7 linked regions of the Kluyveromyces lactis genome follow. The protein of the gene in region 1 binds, or shares a complex with, the protein of each later gene. Links are inferred from orthologs where the notes say so. Each region holds a gene or a part of one and is shown in the gene's direction. Other genes may lie near its edges. The genes, in order: MRPL20, MRP7, MRPL28, MRPL24, MRP20, MRPL13 and MRPL31.

Region 1 (2,347 bases):
AAAAACGGAGGAATAATGGTTTTACGCTCATTCAACGATAAGGAAGTTAATTGGATTTCAGGTTCATTCAAGTCAAGCTCTCTGTCGCCGCCTTCGTACGGATCTTGCTGAGCTGGTATATATTCATCATCGTGAATGACGTTATCAAAATCATCATCATTATCGTACCAATTTCTATCTTGTGCAGTAAAATCCTTGGCGTCCTTTATATCTTCCACATCACTACCTTCTGCATCGATAAGTGTGCCTTTGGTCGCTTCTTCTTTTTTTACCATGACCACTGGTTCAGTGTTTTCTGAAAACTCATTCAATTTTGCTGCAGTTTGCTTCGTAATACGTTTCAAAGTCAAAGGCTTGTTGAATTTTGGTTTCACTTGTACCTTCACAGTAGAAAGCTCATCTTCATCGTCGTCTTCCTTGTCATCCAACGGAAGTTTAACCACAAATTTTTTCCTTATGGTTCTTGCTGGAACAGCCGCTGATTCTGGCTTTGGAGACTGCTTATGTGCCTGTAATTTTTCAAAAAGTTGCTTCAAAAACTCATCTTTGCCCTTAAATTTCCCCAAAGCCTTAGCACCCCCGATGAACTTGTTTACATCCTTATGAATACGTGCAATCTGCCTTAAAGTCTCAACAAACTTCTCTGTCACTCTTGATTCCGTATTCTGTTGAATCCATTCTTGAAGTTCTGCATTCATCTAATTCTGTTGCTTGGTAAACCTACCACCTGGCGTAAAACCTGATGAGACAGAGCTGCTAATGAAGTATCACAAGGACTGTTTATGCCATTATTCTTGTCCCATCTCATAGCCTTTCAGCTCTTCCTGTTGTGAATAGGAACGACATTTGATGTTGATGTTGGGATTACCCGGCTTTCACGTGACAAAAGATACAGAATAGTCCAAATTGGCACTTCTAAAAGCTGCATAATATCGCCAATATAAGCCCTATTTTAACAGGTCAGCTCACACTCATTCATAGTACTAATCGATATTATATAGAAGCATCTTCAGGTAGGTATATCCACTAGAATAATCCTATATTTCTCGAAATAAACTGTTTTCCCATACTAATCCTGTCTGTCTCATCAGGATTTCTATCTGAAAAATTTGAAAGCATCAAACTGAAAGATTTAGAGTCTGCAGTGCGAAACATGGTGATTGATAGTTTAAATAACAAGTTTTAGACCCTTACACCAGGCTTATAATCCCCAATTACGCTGTAGAAATTACATTTGACATATTCGCTACAGTATGGTGAGACTATTTTCGACCAGCGCCCGTGCGGCCAAGGATCTTTCAAAGATAATTGATAAATCAGGTAAGTTACCTAAGATCGTTGGACCAGCTACCATTTACAATCCAAAATCATCTGCCTCCAATTACAAAGGTTATTTGAAAGCCAAGATTCCAGCAGGTCTATATTACGATCCAGCTCCATCCTCTATCCATGGTTCTACTAACTCAGAAACGATTCCAAAATCTTTCTTACCGGCCACTGATCCAAGGCACGACATTATAGATGACCTAACGCAAGGTAACGCAGAGATATCGAGGGTAGCGCCAGTGTTACATGAGAAGGGTGAGAAGACCTACCATTTGAAGCCTGAAGACATCGCTGAGATTAGAAGACTAAGACTGGAGGACCCGGTGAAAAACTCTAGAAAAGCTTTAGCAAAGAAGTTCAACTGTTCTCCGTTGTTCATCTCTATTGTTTCTGAACCACCCAAGGAAAGAAAGACAGAAATGAATCAAGTTCTTGAGACGATAAAGAGCCAATGGCATCCTAAGAGAGCATTGGCCAGAGCCGAAAGAAAAAAGAGAAAGGAACTCTGGTACAGAGCATGAGAAAAGGTAAAAGAAAACAACATACTGTATATCTGTAAATAGTAATAAGATAACCATCGACCTTATGTTTCAATCGTTAGTCATCAACTCTATTAAATGGCTTATAACATCTATATATATGCATGTAATATAATACAATGGAAGACGTGCAAAAATTAGTGTCTATCTCAATAAGTTACAGCTGGGGTCATTATCGTTAGGAAAAAATGATACATTAGTACCACTAATACCCATCGTACATCTCTTGGAAAATTTCGTACTCATCTCGGATTCTCAGGATTATATCTTCGAATAACTGCATCTGATACGCATCTTTTATTTGTAGTTCCAATGCAATCTGATGCCTATGCTGTCCCTCGCACAACATTGCTATCTGATACCATTTCTCCCTCCGCTGCAATACCGTATGCAGCTCCTTCAGATTCGATATCACCTGCGTCTCACAGAACAACCTCTCGTCGCTGTTTATATCCTCTTTATCAACTCCGTCCTCTTTATCC
Region 2 (2,740 bases), on another chromosome or scaffold:
GATCTCTTTCGAGTTACATTTGAATATACCACCTGGTTTCCCAAATTCATCGGGTTCTGGATCTTTCACTTCAAACCGGAGTCCGTCCCCAGAAACTTTTGTGCATATGCACTGGATCCATTCGCCAGTCTTTTTAGATTTATATGCAACTTCGGAACCAACCTCAATTGGTTCACTTGGGTTGAATTGACTGGTCCAATGTGATCTACCAACAACACTCGATTCAGGGATATGCGTCGAACTGGATTCCTCCTTTAATATAGGTTCCTCTTCCACTGGATAATTATCTAATATGTATGAAATGTTCTCTACCAAATCTCTGCAGTAATTTCTCATCTTTTCATTTACAGACTGACGAGCCTCTAATTTCTCATGGATATCAGCCAATTGATTCAAATTCATATTCTGGAAATTCATATTCTTCGGATCTAAAGACTCAAACCCCGCAATATCTCCTATTTTATATAGATCTTGTAATTGAGTCACGGCAAGACCCCATCTATCTTCCGTTGCCATTTTCGCTAGAATCACTGATATATTTTGTTTTATTTTTTTTTTATCTATGGGCTGTCGGTTCTTAGTATTCCTATTTCAATTAGATAATATGGGCTTCACCAGCACGATAATTAATTTGGGAAACTTCTATAAATGGACGTCCTGTTTATTCAAACGTAAATCTGAAAGGTGAAGACTTCTTTTCGATGCAAGCAGTGTCGGTTTCTTGATGTTTTGTACTTAGAGAAATATGAGTTTTTCGTGCTGGAAGAGAACATCAAAACGTATATAGTGATGGTAGATCTTTAATTGGAACCTCAGTTTCGAATAACTTTGACGTGAATTAGACGTTTACTCCTTCTCAAGCATGAAAAATTCACTATGGTATCGAAAGAACTCTCAGCAATAGATGAAATTGGTAAAATGTATAAATCAATACTTTCAACTCTTAAACAGTCAGTTACACGAACCTTCGAAGGGCTATATCTTGTTGGATTTCGTTGTTACCCTACCTTACAATCCGCCATACTGTGGAAAATTTTTGTCACTAAAATCCTATCTTAAATACATTAAGTACAGATACACGCAGAAATACAGTTACTGTGACATTGCTTGATACTGTTCGGACCAGGCCTACGAAACAACGCATAATGTTCTCATCTTCGTGGCAACAAGTTCCCAAGTTTGTGGTGCAGCAGGTGCGTACTGCAACCAAGCGTGCAGCAGGTTCTCGTACCAGTATGAAGGACTCTGCTGGTCGTAGATTGGGTCCAAAAAAATACGAGGGTCAAGCCACTCAAGTTGGTGAGATCATCATGAGACAACGTGGTACCAAGTTTTATCCTGGTGAAAATGTAGGCATCGGTAAAGATCATACGCTTTTCGCTTTGGAGCCGGGTTATGTGAGATACTATTTGGATCCATTTCATCCAGGTAAGAAATTCATTGGTGTATCATTATACAAGGATGTAAAGCTTCCTTTGCCGCATTTCGAACCACGTTTGAGAAGATTCGGCAAGGCCATCATTGAGGATGAAGAGAAAGCCATTGCAGAAGAGAACGCTTTACCAAGAAAGATTTATTTGCTGAAGGATGAATTGATCAAGAAACAGCAAGAACGTGAGATTAAACGTGAAGAGTTGAAGGCAGAATACAGCAAGATAATTTCAGATCTGAAAGTTGAGCTGGATCAACAAGAACTTGCGTTTGCATTACCATATTTGCTCAGATGGAGAACTTGTTTGAAGAATGGGTTCAATGAATCCGATGCCCGATTTAATTCGTACTACTATTTGGAACAAGAACTTAAATTGAAGATGAGAAACCAAGAAAAATCTAAGTTGGACGACAAACTAACATTGTTGAAACAGGTCTCGACCAAATTGAATGAATCATTGTCATTTAACAACAAGCTTGAATTAACTAAATACATTTCTCCAGAAGAAAAGAATACTCTAAAGACACAACTAATTACTGATTTGAAGGCAATTGATATTAAGGACAAGAACAGTAAGAAGCAAGTACTAGCCAAGTTTACTGATGCAAAGAACTTCTTGACGTTATCTGAAGAGGTGAGACTACGCAGAAAATTCTTGAAGCCAGTGAAACCAGAAACAGAATTGAAGAAATTGGAAGAACCACTCAAACCTTCCAAGAAAAATCTAACCACCAGACGTTACAACTACGAACAAAACACGATAGATGTCATTACAAGACCAAAGACCGATTTCTTGAGCAAATTGTAAATCTTCCCCAAGTCGTTACGTAACAAACCATTTAGAGCCTTGTACATATTAACAAAAGAACCACAACAATCATCATAGTTTAAACTGAAAAAAACGAAAGTTTTTTAGAGACTATATATCATTTGGAAAGGTTAATTCCATATTATATCGTTAACGTATTTAATTTGTCTATATGTGTGAGACAAAATCCAAAACATACTCTTACATTACTATTTTTTTGATATTGGATTGTTTTGAGGTACAAAACTATGGCAGGTGAGCCCTTTGGATCAACCAGGAGGCAATTGAGAGATATCAACGATGTCATTCATCTTGCTTTGAGCATCATCTTCATCACCGACAGATAAATGGGTTCTTGGTAGAGCCATCATACCTGATCTTGCCACTTCCAAGATACCGAAAGGTTCCACAAGTTTCAAGAATGCAGAGATACGGGATGGTTTAGCACATAATTCCACAATACAACTTTGTTCAGCGATATCAACAATCTTACCACCAAA
Region 3 (2,206 bases), on another chromosome or scaffold:
TTGGAACCATTTGTCGCCAAAGCTTTACCGAGAGAGAAGAAGAAGCGACCAAAGGAGAAAAGGAAGAGCAAATTTTGGTTTTGGGGATCCCTTACCCATCATACTGACGAAGGAAACCACAGAGACAAAGCTAGGTCGCCAGAGCTTGAAGATTATAAAATTGGTGTTGTATCACCGAATTCGCGGTCCCCCACGTTATCGATTCCTTTCTCTGATCCCGATAACACTCAGACTATTACCAATAACGCAGTATCGGACAACATTAACCATCACCTGTCGCTAATAGACCTCGACGATGACGAGGAACACTTAAAGTGTTCAACGCCACCGTTAATACTGTGATACGTACTTTTTTTAGGCCTAATATATTTATTTCTCATCCTATTTAAATATCATCTACATTAGCACTGTAACTATATACCTTTTTTTGAGCCGGCGTTATTATAACTTGTTCTCTGCGTACCGGGGTAGCCACGATTGCCTCTGGTATGTGGTTGGTGCTCATATGACCCACTTGATTGCAATTTTCTGCTTGCTCCTCTCGTAGTGCCTTGTCTTCCTTAAGAACATCTGTATACGTTGGAGGATCCTCTGGCAAGGAACTTTTCTTCTCATCAGGATATTGCTTCTGATCGTCTTGAGACATCTTTCCGTAAGTTTGAGTTTAACTGTTTACGACTCCGAATGTTGGTCCAAGGGAAATCTCAACTCTTCGAACAGCGTCGGTTCTGATTGCCATTAAAATATATTGTCGTTTCTATACATTATAAATGGTTCAAACAGGGTCCTTGATGTGCAGATTTCCCTTTAAAACCTTACAAATGGCGTAATGCTATATCATCATATATCAGATGTAAAGATGAAAAGAAGGAAAATATGATATCTAAGGTATTCCAGGCTTTGTTAGATTCAATTTTTCATTATGTGAGGTGGCATAGCAGGTAATCAAGACAAGTCGGAAGTTAATCACCTACCAGCTAGTCGAAGGGCAGCTACTCCCTGTGTACTTGAACCTTTTTAGGTCACGTGCAAAAGAGTTTAGCAGTCAAAATAATCAACAGTTCCGGGTAACAGACATTTGTTTGTTCAACATCAGTAACTTTGAAAAATTTTGAAGATTCGATGAGGTTTCAGTGAGTTTATTGTTAGCTTTGACAATAAATTGAATGACGATTAAATACGGGTTGATTTTCTGCGATAAGTTCGTGTGATAGCATACAGCTTCTCAGCCAACCGAAAGGATCATTAATACTCCATCCACTATGCTAGCGAGTGCAGCATCTCGTAAGAATGCCTTGAAGGTAGTGCAACCCTCTTTGAACTTTGTTCGTGGGAAAAGAACTAAATCGAAAGGTGGATTAAATCCTCAAGCGCAAAGAATCATTACACAACTCTCTGTTATGTCTGCTAGCAGGAAACAGCCAAAACTTTTAAAACTTTCCCGTGAAGATTTGATCAAACATGATATGATTCAAGCTTGTTGGGCGCAATATCAAAGGGAACTGAGGGAAAAGAGAACAAATCTCTTGAAACTACAGTACGAGAATATAGAAGAAGCTATGAACTTATTAGAACAGGTAGATCCCGAACTATATGAAATGGCTAACGCTGAAGAATCAGGTAAGAGGGTCCCATTGGAACTAAGGGTACCTACTCAATACCCACCGAACAATGTGTGGTATTATGATTACAAGAAAAAGGATTGAATAGTTCGTTTCCAGGCATAATGCATTAAAGGTAGAGCACGAATCATATTTCACATTATCTCTTCTAGGACACTTTTTTATCGGTACACCAAACGTGGGTTGCTCGAGAAACAACTTGTGTGATCTACAGGCAAGACCAAGTGCCACGCAATAAAATATAATGGAGATGTTGCATTATATATTGTAATGAAAGAGTTAGATAGAAGAAATGTAAACAAACCATGTAAATAAGCAATTCTACGAAATGATTATCGGCAGAATGAAGCTCTTAAGCTTTTCAAAGGGGACTTTAACCGTATTCCAAAGTGACAGTGTACTTCAGAAAAAAACATGGCTTCTGTGTATACATCGGTTCGAATATGAATAATGGTCTTGTTTACAAATAGCATTATTCATTTGACTTAGATGATTTTAGCTTGAATGGGTACATGGTTAGCAAAATGGCATCACCATACATATTTTCTCCAGAATGATTTGCCTGCGGTGTTTTCAACGTTTGG
Region 4 (2,594 bases), on another chromosome or scaffold:
CAGGGCATGGGTTTTATTGCTACTACTTTAATATTGAACTGTGAAGAAGAATGGCAAGCGTTTTCTCTATTAACGAAACTCATGAAAGTATACGGATTAAGGGATTTATTCTTGCCGGGAATGCCTGGCCTGATGTTGAAATTGTACCAATTTGATACACTTTTGGAGGAAAATGATCCTCAATTGTATAACCATTTGATCAGGCAGGGAATAAGATCTACAATGTTTGCAACTCAATGGTTCCTGACGATGTTCGCATACAAATTTCCCCTTGAATTCGTTCTCAGAATCATGGATATTGTCATACTTGAAGGTATCGAATCGATGCTAAAATTCAGTTTAACGTTGATGTTAAAGAACAGTCGTAATTTGATCATTCTCAGTTTCGATTCTCTCTTAGACTTCTTGAAGGAGGACCTTTTCCAACACTATGCTTCTAAGGAGAACCCAGAAGAGTACGATATTGATAGATTCATCTCTGATTCGTTGGAAATCAAATTAACTCCATTGCAATTGGAGCGTTACGTGAAAGAGTACGATGAGATTCACAAGTTGGAAACGGAAAAGGAACAACAATATGAGGAACAAAGAATTAAAAACAGACAGCTTCAAAAAGAGTTGAAGAAATTAGAAAATGACTATTCGCTATTAAACAGAGAGCATATCACTATTGCCAATGAACTAATTGAAAACAGACTTCGGATGGAAACTCTTCAGGACGAAAATAAGGATTTATTACTAGAGATAGAAGATTTGAAGAAACAACTGGAACGTGAACTTTATAAACAAACGTTACCTAATCCAGATGCTGAAATTCCCACAGATTTGAAAGCAGATTTGAATAGAACAATGGAAAGAAATCTGGAAGTTATGGACGAAAATCAAGAGCTCAGAACACGCCTTGACGAATTAGAAAAAGAGAACTATGAATTACGCACAGGTAAGACTTGGACCAAAGATGCCACCAATCCAAAGGGAAATCGTCTCGGGAATTGGGCTTTCAAATCACCATGGAAGAAATGAGAAAAATTGCAACAGGGACCTCATTCACAATATCCATCCAGCCGTACATATATACATACCCTTCATACATACATGATACCGCCAACCATTACGCAGAGGTGTATTCTAATCATAAATTTCCTTATGCTTTACCATTCTCGCTGTATACGGTTTTGATCTTTCCAAAGCTTATTCAAAATTTTAGAAAATAACGACTTGATACATGCACTAAGGTGAAGAGAAGGAGCTTGAACCTAGTATGAAGCTAGTTGGTCTAAGAGTCTCTGTACGTTCACCAATAAGCACGGAGATCGTTCATCTGGAATGAAGTTTTTTCCAAGTTCCCAAAGAGGGTTTTCCACTCTTAGCCACCTCCTCAGAGAATGGAGATTAGTTGAAAGCAGACAGATCCCAACTCCAAAGACGTATCAAGTCGGCGACAGCAAGCCATTATATATCCCAAAGGAGAAGAAGGAATTCCCTGATTATCCATACGGAGAATCTCCAATTTACAAACAGAGTAACAAAGGTTTATACGGTGCGTCTTTCATCCAATTCGGTAATAACATCGCTGAATCGAAGACAAAAACCAGGAGATCATGGAGTCCAAACGTTATTAGAAAAGGACTATGGAGTGAGACTTTGAACAGAAAGATTAGTATTAAGATGACAGCAAAAGTTTTAAGAACAATTACCAAGGAAGGTGGTATTGACAACTATTTGACTAAGGAAAAGGCCGCCAGAATTAAGGAATTGGGACCTACTGGTTGGAAACTCCGTTACAGACTACTGAACTCTAAGGAAAAAGCTGCCAATCCTGTACATAAGGACGCTGAGACTGTCACAGATGCCAATGGCAACGAAGTCACCGTATTGTACAAAGTTGTTGTCGATGGAGAACCATTGAGAATTACTGCTGGTAAGCGTAAACTATTGCATACCCTTTTCCCATTGGAAAAGATGGAACACAAAGCGGATGGATTAGATCTATCGTTTAAGAAATTCATGGACCAATTTGCTACCCGTGACGTGGCAGACATCGTATCGAGATTAAAGGCCTTGAATTTCGATTTGAGTACGATTACTGTATGAGAACTGAATAGATTTTGTTCCAATTTTATATAAAAGCTTGTAAACAATGAGAAAATAGATTCTACCATGAGCTGGGAGGATGCTTGAAGACTATGCGTTAGTTGTCCGACTGACCGATGCAAGAGTTAATCACCCACTGTTCAATTGAATTGAACGGTGTGCATGTGACTGTTGCACCCAGACATTATTGACTGTTGCACCCATACATACTCAATTTCTGCTGAAAATGAGAATGTTTCCATACTAGGAAATTATTTTCTCATGTCCACCAAATCCGCTGAGCTGACGGTAGGATGCACAGACACATCCCATCCGTCTTCGTTGCTTGCTTCGAGCTGGGCAGGGCCTGTCCCGTTTCCTCCCTAAGCTGGACTGCCCGGTCTGGGCCTGGACATTCCACCAAACTGGCCGCTGGACTGCCCACTTAGACCCCAGGCTAGGCATCTCATGGTTTCCATTCACTTCCCATACCCTCCCAAACACTCCTCCGGGTAATCATC
Region 5 (2,661 bases), on another chromosome or scaffold:
CTTGGACAATATTACCTGCAGAACGTTCTTGAGCGATCAAAACCTTTTCTGAACCGTTAATGATAAAGTAACCACCCATGTCGAACGGACATTCCTTCAAACGATACAAATCAGATTCTGTCAAATCGTCCAACAAACAGTACTTCGATCTCAACATGATAGGTACTCTCCCGATGAAAATTTTATTATTTTCCTCATTCTCTTCACTTTCCTCAGTGATAATTTCGTATTTCAAATCACGACCTGGAATATCAATAGCCTGATAAGTTCTCTTCTGAATTTCCACAAATAAACCTGATGCGTAAGTCAAGTTTCTGAGACGGGCTTCCTGCGGATACATCGCATGAGAAACACCATCTGACTCAGTCATGGATGGTTTGGCCAAATAAATCTTACCAAATGAAATTTCATACTTTCTGGAAATGTTGTCCGTTTCAGTGGTATGCTGTGCTAATTGTTCCAAAATCAAGGTACTGTCTTCCAAGATAAGATCCTGAATCGTATAGTTGATGAATTGGTTAAAAGAATCCAACTGCTGAGATACTAAACCTTTTTCTCTGAAGAAAGCGGAGATAACAGTCCACGAATCTTCTGCTGAAATAGCAGCTTCTTCCTCATCGTACCCATATGGATCTTCATCATAGTATTCAGTCATCCTTGGTCTGTATTAAGAATTGCAAACGTTAATAATCTACACTGACCTCACAACCGTGGCAAATAATGCGTACGTGCGTGCTTATTATTAAAGTACAGAATAACACTCTTTGTTGTGTTGCTCGCAACCTGAAAAGAAATGTGTATTACTGGTCAAACAAAGAAGAAAACACACCCCAAATACAAAGAGTTAAGGACTTACCCAATAATCCGAAACAAACCCCACTCTGACAGAAGATGATTAAGCCGACTGGTACTCTCTTTTCTCTTCTCTCTTCCAATCTTCCTATTAACGATCAATCGGTAATTACGTTTCGCCTCTCAAAACAATAATATTTCAATTTCAAGCTTCCAGAGTATTTTTTTTCTTCACTATAAAGAGAACATCATTTCCCACGTCACAAACGGGTAACAGCATTTATTCAAAAATTTCAATATATCAGGTCACGTGAAGATCATTTCCTACGCTCTGATTTTTCCAATAAAAAATCTTTCTTCTAAAACATCCCAGAGCTCTCCAGTTTTGTACGACATATTCTACGTTAGATTCGTGCCAAAATGTGTACTCATCAGCTTTTCTAATATCTACTAACATGGAAAATGAGTATTTTAAAGCTTTTCATTGAAATGATTTCGATTTTAACATTAAGATTTGTATGAAGATGAGGCTTCTAAGAGACGCATACAAGAACAGGATTATTTGGGACTTTTCAGTTGCGAGTGCAGAGCGAAGTGAAGTAGTAATCTTTGCGCCAGTGTTTCTGTTCAATATCTATAACAAATGCCTCGTTTTTTCCCATCTCTCAAACAGGGTTTGAGAAACCTTGCTACTGCGGTAGAGACGGAATCTACAGTAGCAGTCAAAGCCAGTCAGTTCAAGAGACCTCGTCAATCCGTACAAAGCAGAATCTTGGAGTACACTCGTGAAGCGATTAAAACTGAGAAACCACATTTTAAAGTTGGTGGTGCAGAGCTCTATTTTCCTAAAGCGAGAGTTATTCTACTAAGACCAAATGCTAAACACACTCCATATCAAGCGAAATTCATCGTTCCTAAATCGTTTAACAAATTAGATTTAAGAGATTATTTATTCCACCTTTATGGTTTAAGAGCGTTGAACGTTACTACACAGTTATTGCATGCCAGATACACTCGTGCTACGCCGGTGTCGCCCAGGTACCGTGGTCCTCAAATCAAGAAGATGACTATCGATATGGCAGAACCATTTATCTGGCCTGCAGAACCTGAGGACAAGAGTGCATGGAATACTGAGTTCCAAAAGGAATTGGAAAAATACAGAAACGATAGGATGAGACTAGGATCCGACGCTAACAAACCTTCAAAGGCATTCGATGGTGTATTGGGACCATACCAGGAAACTGCAAAACCTTTCATTCCTAGATTCCTTAAAAGAAGACTAGTGAATAAGAAGGCTAGAGAGGCAAAGAAGGAACAATATTTGGAGCAAATCAAGAAGGTCAGTGAAGTCCTTGCTAAAAGCACATGAATTTCAGAGAATTTATTCTTTCATGAATTAAATTCTAGTAAAAGTATTACATCCTGTAAATATAATGTATGAAATATAGTACTGATTTAAAAACTGTCATAGCAAAATAATATGACGACTACTTGTGAACATTTTCAATGTTTAAATGAGAAATAAGTTTGAAGAACACTATATGTATGTATAAAAGATAAATACATTGTGGTGAATATTAAGGGAAAGTTAAGTGCAGTATGTCCCAGTTTGAAAAAAAATGAAGCGAAAAAAGAGTAACGGTATAAGATTTCTATTTGATTCCTGAATTTCCGTTGTATTGATCTTCACGGTTCAGGATGGAAGGGTTCAATAACGGGCAGGTGCTCATTTAATGTCATACTTAGTCACTAAACGGTTAATCTTGTTTCTTTTTTTCCTGTTGCTGATTATACTAAGATTGGCATTCTAATGTTCTTTATAAGTTCCTATTCCAATTAGTACACGGAGTTTCTAGTTTTTTTGTTCCT
Region 6 (2,692 bases), about 430 kb from region 1:
ATTCTGTTTTGAATGCTTTTGTTCGGGTTCCTCACTGGGATCTTCTGATCTGCTTCTTTTCACAGCCATAGTATTTGGCGCTTTCCAGTTTGTTTATGCTTTTTTTTTTGCCTCCTCGCTTCCTTGGCTTCTTAAATGAACAAATTTCAGTATATATGCAGCAGTCAAGGCACTTACTCTAACCGTACCTAATTGGCTCCTTTGACAAACCAAAATCGTATACTGCGTATTGTTTTATATGTCTATTCTACAAAGTTTGTATATTTCAATGTTTTCAATAAAGAGAGTGAAAGTACCTTTACAAGATTGAGAAATGTTCAGACGTATATAGTGATATATCGCATTTCAACATTTGGTGAACCCATTTTGAGTGCGCTAATAGTGCAGAAACCTATTGCGTCACGATTCGATATTGGCGACCAATGGCTTGTTATATTCCACGGTAAGGTTTTTCACTAGGTTAGCGAAGTACTTTTTGTGAAATTCTTGAATCGCCTTCCTTGTGTCCTGTTTTATTTTCGAACTGGGAAGTACCGTTAAGGGTACGTCATGTAAAATTTCTCTTTGATCTTGCACATAGCTCGAACCTAAATCGTGTGAGGATGCTACGATACCGCTGTTGCTGATCATACCTATATCTATAAGCTTATCGTTCGTATTATTCACGATTTCGGTCAATTCAAGTTCTCTTGCAAGCACTCTTTCCTTCTGTCGTTGTTCCATTTCGTTATAATCTAATTGGGCTTGTGAGCCGTACCTGTCCTGTTCCTGCAATAACGGGTCATTTTCGTCGCTATCTTGACGAAAGCAGCAACTTAGCACATTTCCCATAATATTTTAAATGTTTTAGGCAGATTTTCGGTAGCTACTGATGCTAGAATTCGTTAGTAAACGTAAACTATCTCATTGCCTTGGTGGCTTTAAGGTAAAGGAACTACACTTACTATAGATGTTGATAAAAAGCACTGGGAAGCATAAATTTCATATTCTAGTATGTGGGTTGTGGGTGTTTTGAATAGGGTAACCCCGTCTTCTTTATCTATCGGGCTACATAGATAAGCAGCTTTTAGTTACTGAATACAGTGAACATCATGCAAACCAGGAAGTACGCACTTAACTCGACCCGTTGTTAAAGACCACTATGATGCAACTATCTATCGCTTCAGATCCTGTTTCTTTCTCTCTTTAGAACCTTCCCATATGGACTACATTCTTTCTATGCCCAATTGAAAAATTGAAAAATTTCATCTAAAAACTATAAACTTACAATTTGATGAAGATATTGTATATTAGAACATTAATTGAACGGTCAAGTTCTTGATGAGCTTAAGCACAGAAGTATCTTCTAGTGTTGTCTGATTTGGCGGTTGATATCAGTTCATTAAAGCGTGGTACTGTGCATATTTTTCAATCGAAAACAAAAAAGAATAATGATGCTAGCGTCTAGGTACGTGCCAGTAGTGCGTTCATCAAGACAATTCACTTCAAGTGCAGTGCGCTCTGATTTCTTGTCATGGTTCAGAAGAAATAAAAACAAAGATGCTGGTGTCGTTTCAACACAGCCAGAATTGCAAAGAGATACAAAAGAAGTTATAAATGAGATCGAGTCCGGGAAAACAACTGTAGTGAAGAGCTCAACGGTCACAAGATTAGAGTTAACAGATGATGATTTTGTTGGTATCGATTCATCTAGAAGAGAAGAACTTATTCGTTTACAAAAGTTGGATGTCGTCCCATTCAACGAGTGGTTATCTCAGGATAAATTAAGTACCGAACAACAGTTGGAACAGGTTGTTTTGGAAAGTTATCAGGAAACTTTCGGTGATGTCCCAACGGAAGAACAACTGGGGAAACCTTTCGAAAATTTGGTAAACAAGTTCAAATTCAGTAAACTGCTACAATGCAAATCAGGACACATTATCCCAGACTACGAACTTACAAGGTTACAAACTCCATTGGAATTTAAATCGTGGTTTGAGATTAAAGTACTAAGTGGTCAACTAGGGAAATTTAAGGAATCGGAACCAAACGCCATTGATTTATCGAATATCAAATTCCCACCAAACGTGTACGTGGTTCCCGATGTCAAACCATCTGTGAAAAAACAGAAGGTGAAGAAAATCTTGGAAGAGGTCGCCGCATTGGAAGCTCAATATGAAAGAGACGCTATTGAGAAAGCTAAAAGGGATTAAACTCCGAAAACAATCTCTCTTCTGGGTTGTTTATATTTACTATCGCATATCTTTTTTTCCAATGCATTTGAACTAGGCCAGTCGGCCGCTTTTCAGATCTTTGATTTGACTTTTCCTTCAATCTAAATCCTGTACATAATATAAATACTTATACATAATGTTACTATAACCATTAGTATGAGAGATCAATCACCAAAAAAAAATTATTGTATGTGAATATATATATACTTTTATATAAGGTTTGAAAAGAGCGTGGCATTGATTGTATACCTAGTGTTTTCTCGATAACGAAAATATCACGGCAATTGACGCACCGAGAGCAACAATTACTGCTGGAAGAAGGGTTTCATTGGGAATTCCAGGAATTAATTGGTTAGATGGTTTGGGATGAGAAGGCACATTTTTTTTGAACCTATTTTGGATTAATCTATTCACAGCATCTTGTGGTACAGTCTCATATCTATAATGAACCAATAAATCAATCTTATCTAGATTCATGT
Region 7 (2,358 bases), on another chromosome or scaffold:
GAAAATTTGGAAACTAAGCTTGAACCACTGGTAGAAGTTTTCGATGAATTAGGATCCCTAACTCAAATGTCCCTTCTAATGGGTGTAGTGAAATGCCATAATGCAGTCTCAAGTGCTTTCTTACAGAAGATCTTGGAACTTTGTACGACAGACGTCCACGATTTGGACGTTAGAGACATGGCCATGATGTACTGGCGGTGTCTATCGATCGACAACGGTGATCAAATCATCAACCAATTATTTGACAAGCATGAAATTCCTAAATTGCATTCTACCTTGGACCACTTCTCCAAGGAAACATTACAAAGTCTACTTCAAGAGCTCTCCACTCTATCCTCTGTGTATTTCAAACCAATCTCGCAGATGCAACGCCGTCCCAACGAAGTTCACATCATTAAGGATAAGGATATTGATGAATTAAAGGGAATGGCCACGAACGAGATCCTGAAAAACATGAACGATGATGTACTACTTGACATGGGTGATAGCTCTGCCACGAGAAGTACAGGCGTCCTGGACGAACTAAATGATCTTTTCGATATCACTGGTGATATGGGGAAAGTAAACATTTCACAGAAAACCAATAATAACAACAACAACACCTCGAATTCCCATGCAACCGATCTTCTAGACTTAATGTAAACTAGTTTACTCTTTTGAACACCTGTACAAACTATAATTATAATGGGAAACAATGAAGCAGATAAACTTCAATCATGGATGTGCCTTTCTAAAATGTTAATTTATTATGGTGCAGTATCTACTACTATATACAAGTAACCCCAGTGGCATGTCATGTCATGTCATATCATGTCAACTTTATTCCTTTTGTTTCTTGAGAAGATCCTCAAGTCTCTCAATCTTACGTTCCACTATCAAGTCACGTTGACGATCCAGATTAGAATCCTTCTGGTATGATAATATACATTTGCGCATAGCGTCACGAGGTTCGTTACACGCTGGGAAAAGCTTCAATCCATGAATCTTTGAACATTCGACCATGGCCTCCACGTATTCTACACATTGTGCATATGCAAATTTCTTCAAATTCTGACGAGCTTCTTTCTCCTCGGTAGGGTTCAATACCCAAATTGGTAATCTTTGATTATGCTTTCCAACGCCCTCTGACATTTCTAAATGAATAATCTATCTTTGTGGTGCAGTATTCCAGTACTATAAGAACTTCTGACCTATGGTTATGGACACAGCAGCAGCTACAAATGACAATACGCTGGCTGTTCCCCAAAATCGTTTAAATCAGTTGACATTGTTCATTTGCATAATGTTGAGATTTAAAGCTTTTTCATGGATACTTTGAAAAATTTCGAAGGTTTAAAAGATTTAATACCATGAATTACGGTGGGAAATTGGTAAAAGCCAGCCAGTAGCACCGTTATACAAACTGTTTAAGCAGCTCGTTAGGTTCTGTCATACCCGGGTCAATTGAATATCTTTGTTTCATAGAGAAATGTTCGGTGCATTCAGAGCTACACAACCTGCATTAGGTGGATTATTATGGAAAGTCCCATGGCGTATGTCTGGTCCTCAAAAAGCAAGACAAAGAGACCGTTTGAGAAGCGTTGATGATGTTCTTTCAACTCTTAAGTTAGGTCTTCATCTTGAAAGAAACCATATGGCGGTTTCTGAGGGATCTCAGCTGAATCTACGTAAGATTAAACCTCGTGTGAAGAGCTTACGTATTTTAGACAAGGCTCAGTATTTCCCAAAGGAACCGGAGATGTCTGCTACTGATAAGTACAGTGTATTCAACAGGTACTCGAAGGGATATAGAAAGGGTATACATAAAGTTCCCAAATGGACCAAGCTTTCCATCAGAAGAAACCCACGTCATTTCTGATTTGGATGAATCATCATTAAAAACTTCTATTATTACATAGTAAGTAGCCCCTGTACATAGTGAATAAAATCAAGGTATCATAGTTCATCCCAGATGTTGTGAGATGATGATGATGATGATAATGGACGGGCTTCATTCCTTAGATCGAGCAATTGGTCATTATATAGTGCTACGTCAAGGGAATGGAACAACTTCAACTTTAGCACACGTATCTTGTCATCTTTACCGATCGGTTCCTCATCAATCGTGTGGGCAGCATCAGTATCGTCATTGAGTAATTGTTTCTGTGTTTCTACGACCTTTTGAATACCCTCTTGTATCGTATCTCGAAGCTGGTTAATTTCCTGTACCAGTTTATCTATGTCTTGTTGCAATTTCGGTATGTTTAATTCGTCCTCTACGCGTTTCACTTGGCTTGTTTGCTCCTGAAAATTCTTTTTAAGTGCCTGCACTTTAGTTTGCTGTCTTTGCAGCTGTGATTGCAATTGTTTCATGAGCTC

The links.
Region 2: MRPL20 (region 1) and MRP7 share a complex: the UniProt entries of both Saccharomyces cerevisiae proteins name them as parts of the mitochondrial large ribosomal subunit. The link is inferred for Kluyveromyces lactis from reciprocal best matches to the Saccharomyces cerevisiae genes MRPL20 and MRP7.
Region 3: MRPL20 (region 1) and MRPL28 share a complex: the UniProt entries of both Saccharomyces cerevisiae proteins name them as parts of the mitochondrial large ribosomal subunit. The link is inferred for Kluyveromyces lactis from reciprocal best matches to the Saccharomyces cerevisiae genes MRPL20 and MRPL28.
Region 4: MRPL20 (region 1) and MRPL24 share a complex: the UniProt entries of both Saccharomyces cerevisiae proteins name them as parts of the mitochondrial large ribosomal subunit. The link is inferred for Kluyveromyces lactis from reciprocal best matches to the Saccharomyces cerevisiae genes MRPL20 and MRPL24.
Region 5: MRPL20 (region 1) and MRP20 share a complex: the UniProt entries of both Saccharomyces cerevisiae proteins name them as parts of the mitochondrial large ribosomal subunit. The link is inferred for Kluyveromyces lactis from reciprocal best matches to the Saccharomyces cerevisiae genes MRPL20 and MRP20.
Region 6: MRPL20 (region 1) and MRPL13 share a complex: the UniProt entries of both Saccharomyces cerevisiae proteins name them as parts of the mitochondrial large ribosomal subunit. The link is inferred for Kluyveromyces lactis from reciprocal best matches to the Saccharomyces cerevisiae genes MRPL20 and MRPL13.
Region 7: MRPL20 (region 1) and MRPL31 share a complex: the UniProt entries of both Saccharomyces cerevisiae proteins name them as parts of the mitochondrial large ribosomal subunit. The link is inferred for Kluyveromyces lactis from reciprocal best matches to the Saccharomyces cerevisiae genes MRPL20 and MRPL31.

What each region holds. Positions count from the first base shown.
Region 1 is NC_006037.1:691,353-693,699, forward strand, and holds MRPL20 (mitochondrial 54S ribosomal protein mL58), read left to right. Parts: upstream 1-1,253; coding exon 1,254-1,847; downstream 1,848-2,347. Other genes in the region: DEAH-box RNA helicase PRP16, read right to left, coding at 1-698; KLLA0_A07777g (uncharacterized protein), read right to left, coding at 2,071-2,347. UniProt on the Saccharomyces cerevisiae protein: Component of the mitochondrial ribosome (mitoribosome), a dedicated translation machinery responsible for the synthesis of mitochondrial genome-encoded proteins, including at least some of the essential transmembrane subunits of the mitochondrial respiratory chain.
Region 2 is NC_006042.1:1,140,011-1,142,750, reverse strand, and holds MRP7 (mitochondrial 54S ribosomal protein bL27m), read left to right. Parts: upstream 1-1,145; coding exon 1,146-2,240; downstream 2,241-2,740. Other genes in the region: SGF29 (Sgf29p), read right to left, coding at 1-516; ILV6 (acetolactate synthase regulatory subunit), read right to left, coding at 2,510-2,740. UniProt on the Saccharomyces cerevisiae protein: Component of the mitochondrial ribosome (mitoribosome), a dedicated translation machinery responsible for the synthesis of mitochondrial genome-encoded proteins, including at least some of the essential transmembrane subunits of the mitochondrial respiratory chain.
Region 3 is NC_006039.1:1,299,935-1,302,140, forward strand, and holds MRPL28 (mitochondrial 54S ribosomal protein mL40), read left to right. Parts: upstream 1-1,262; coding exon 1,263-1,706; downstream 1,707-2,206. Other genes in the region: LFT1 (Lft1p), read left to right, coding at 1-342; KLLA0_C14916g (uncharacterized protein), read right to left, coding at 386-646; KLLA0_C14949g (MFS transporter), read right to left, coding at 2,153-2,206. UniProt on the Saccharomyces cerevisiae protein: Component of the mitochondrial ribosome (mitoribosome), a dedicated translation machinery responsible for the synthesis of mitochondrial genome-encoded proteins, including at least some of the essential transmembrane subunits of the mitochondrial respiratory chain.
Region 4 is NC_006040.1:1,064,461-1,067,054, reverse strand, and holds MRPL24 (mitochondrial 54S ribosomal protein bL28m), read left to right. Parts: upstream 1-1,326; coding exon 1,327-2,094; downstream 2,095-2,594. Other genes in the region: KLLA0_D12584g (uncharacterized protein), read left to right, coding at 1-1,023. UniProt on the Saccharomyces cerevisiae protein: Component of the mitochondrial ribosome (mitoribosome), a dedicated translation machinery responsible for the synthesis of mitochondrial genome-encoded proteins, including at least some of the essential transmembrane subunits of the mitochondrial respiratory chain.
Region 5 is NC_006038.1:504,701-507,361, forward strand, and holds MRP20 (mitochondrial 54S ribosomal protein uL23m), read left to right. Parts: upstream 1-1,435; coding exon 1,436-2,161; downstream 2,162-2,661. Other genes in the region: DNA-directed RNA polymerase II subunit RPB2, read right to left, coding at 1-655. UniProt on the Saccharomyces cerevisiae protein: Component of the mitochondrial ribosome (mitoribosome), a dedicated translation machinery responsible for the synthesis of mitochondrial genome-encoded proteins, including at least some of the essential transmembrane subunits of the mitochondrial respiratory chain.
Region 6 is NC_006037.1:258,004-260,695, reverse strand, and holds MRPL13 (mitochondrial 54S ribosomal protein mL50 MRPL13), read left to right. Parts: upstream 1-1,430; coding exon 1,431-2,192; downstream 2,193-2,692. Other genes in the region: RSC4 (Rsc4p), read right to left, coding at 1-69; MEH1 (Meh1p), read right to left, coding at 400-831; KLLA0_A02893g (uncharacterized protein), read right to left, coding at 2,463-2,692. UniProt on the Saccharomyces cerevisiae protein: Component of the mitochondrial ribosome (mitoribosome), a dedicated translation machinery responsible for the synthesis of mitochondrial genome-encoded proteins, including at least some of the essential transmembrane subunits of the mitochondrial respiratory chain.
Region 7 is NC_006041.1:1,082,310-1,084,667, reverse strand, and holds MRPL31 (mitochondrial 54S ribosomal protein mL60), read left to right. Parts: upstream 1-1,468; coding exon 1,469-1,858; downstream 1,859-2,358. Other genes in the region: APL2 (Apl2p), read left to right, coding at 1-642; CMC1 (Cmc1p), read right to left, coding at 820-1,131; kinetochore-associated Ndc80 complex subunit SPC24, read right to left, coding at 1,936-2,358. UniProt on the Saccharomyces cerevisiae protein: Component of the mitochondrial ribosome (mitoribosome), a dedicated translation machinery responsible for the synthesis of mitochondrial genome-encoded proteins, including at least some of the essential transmembrane subunits of the mitochondrial respiratory chain.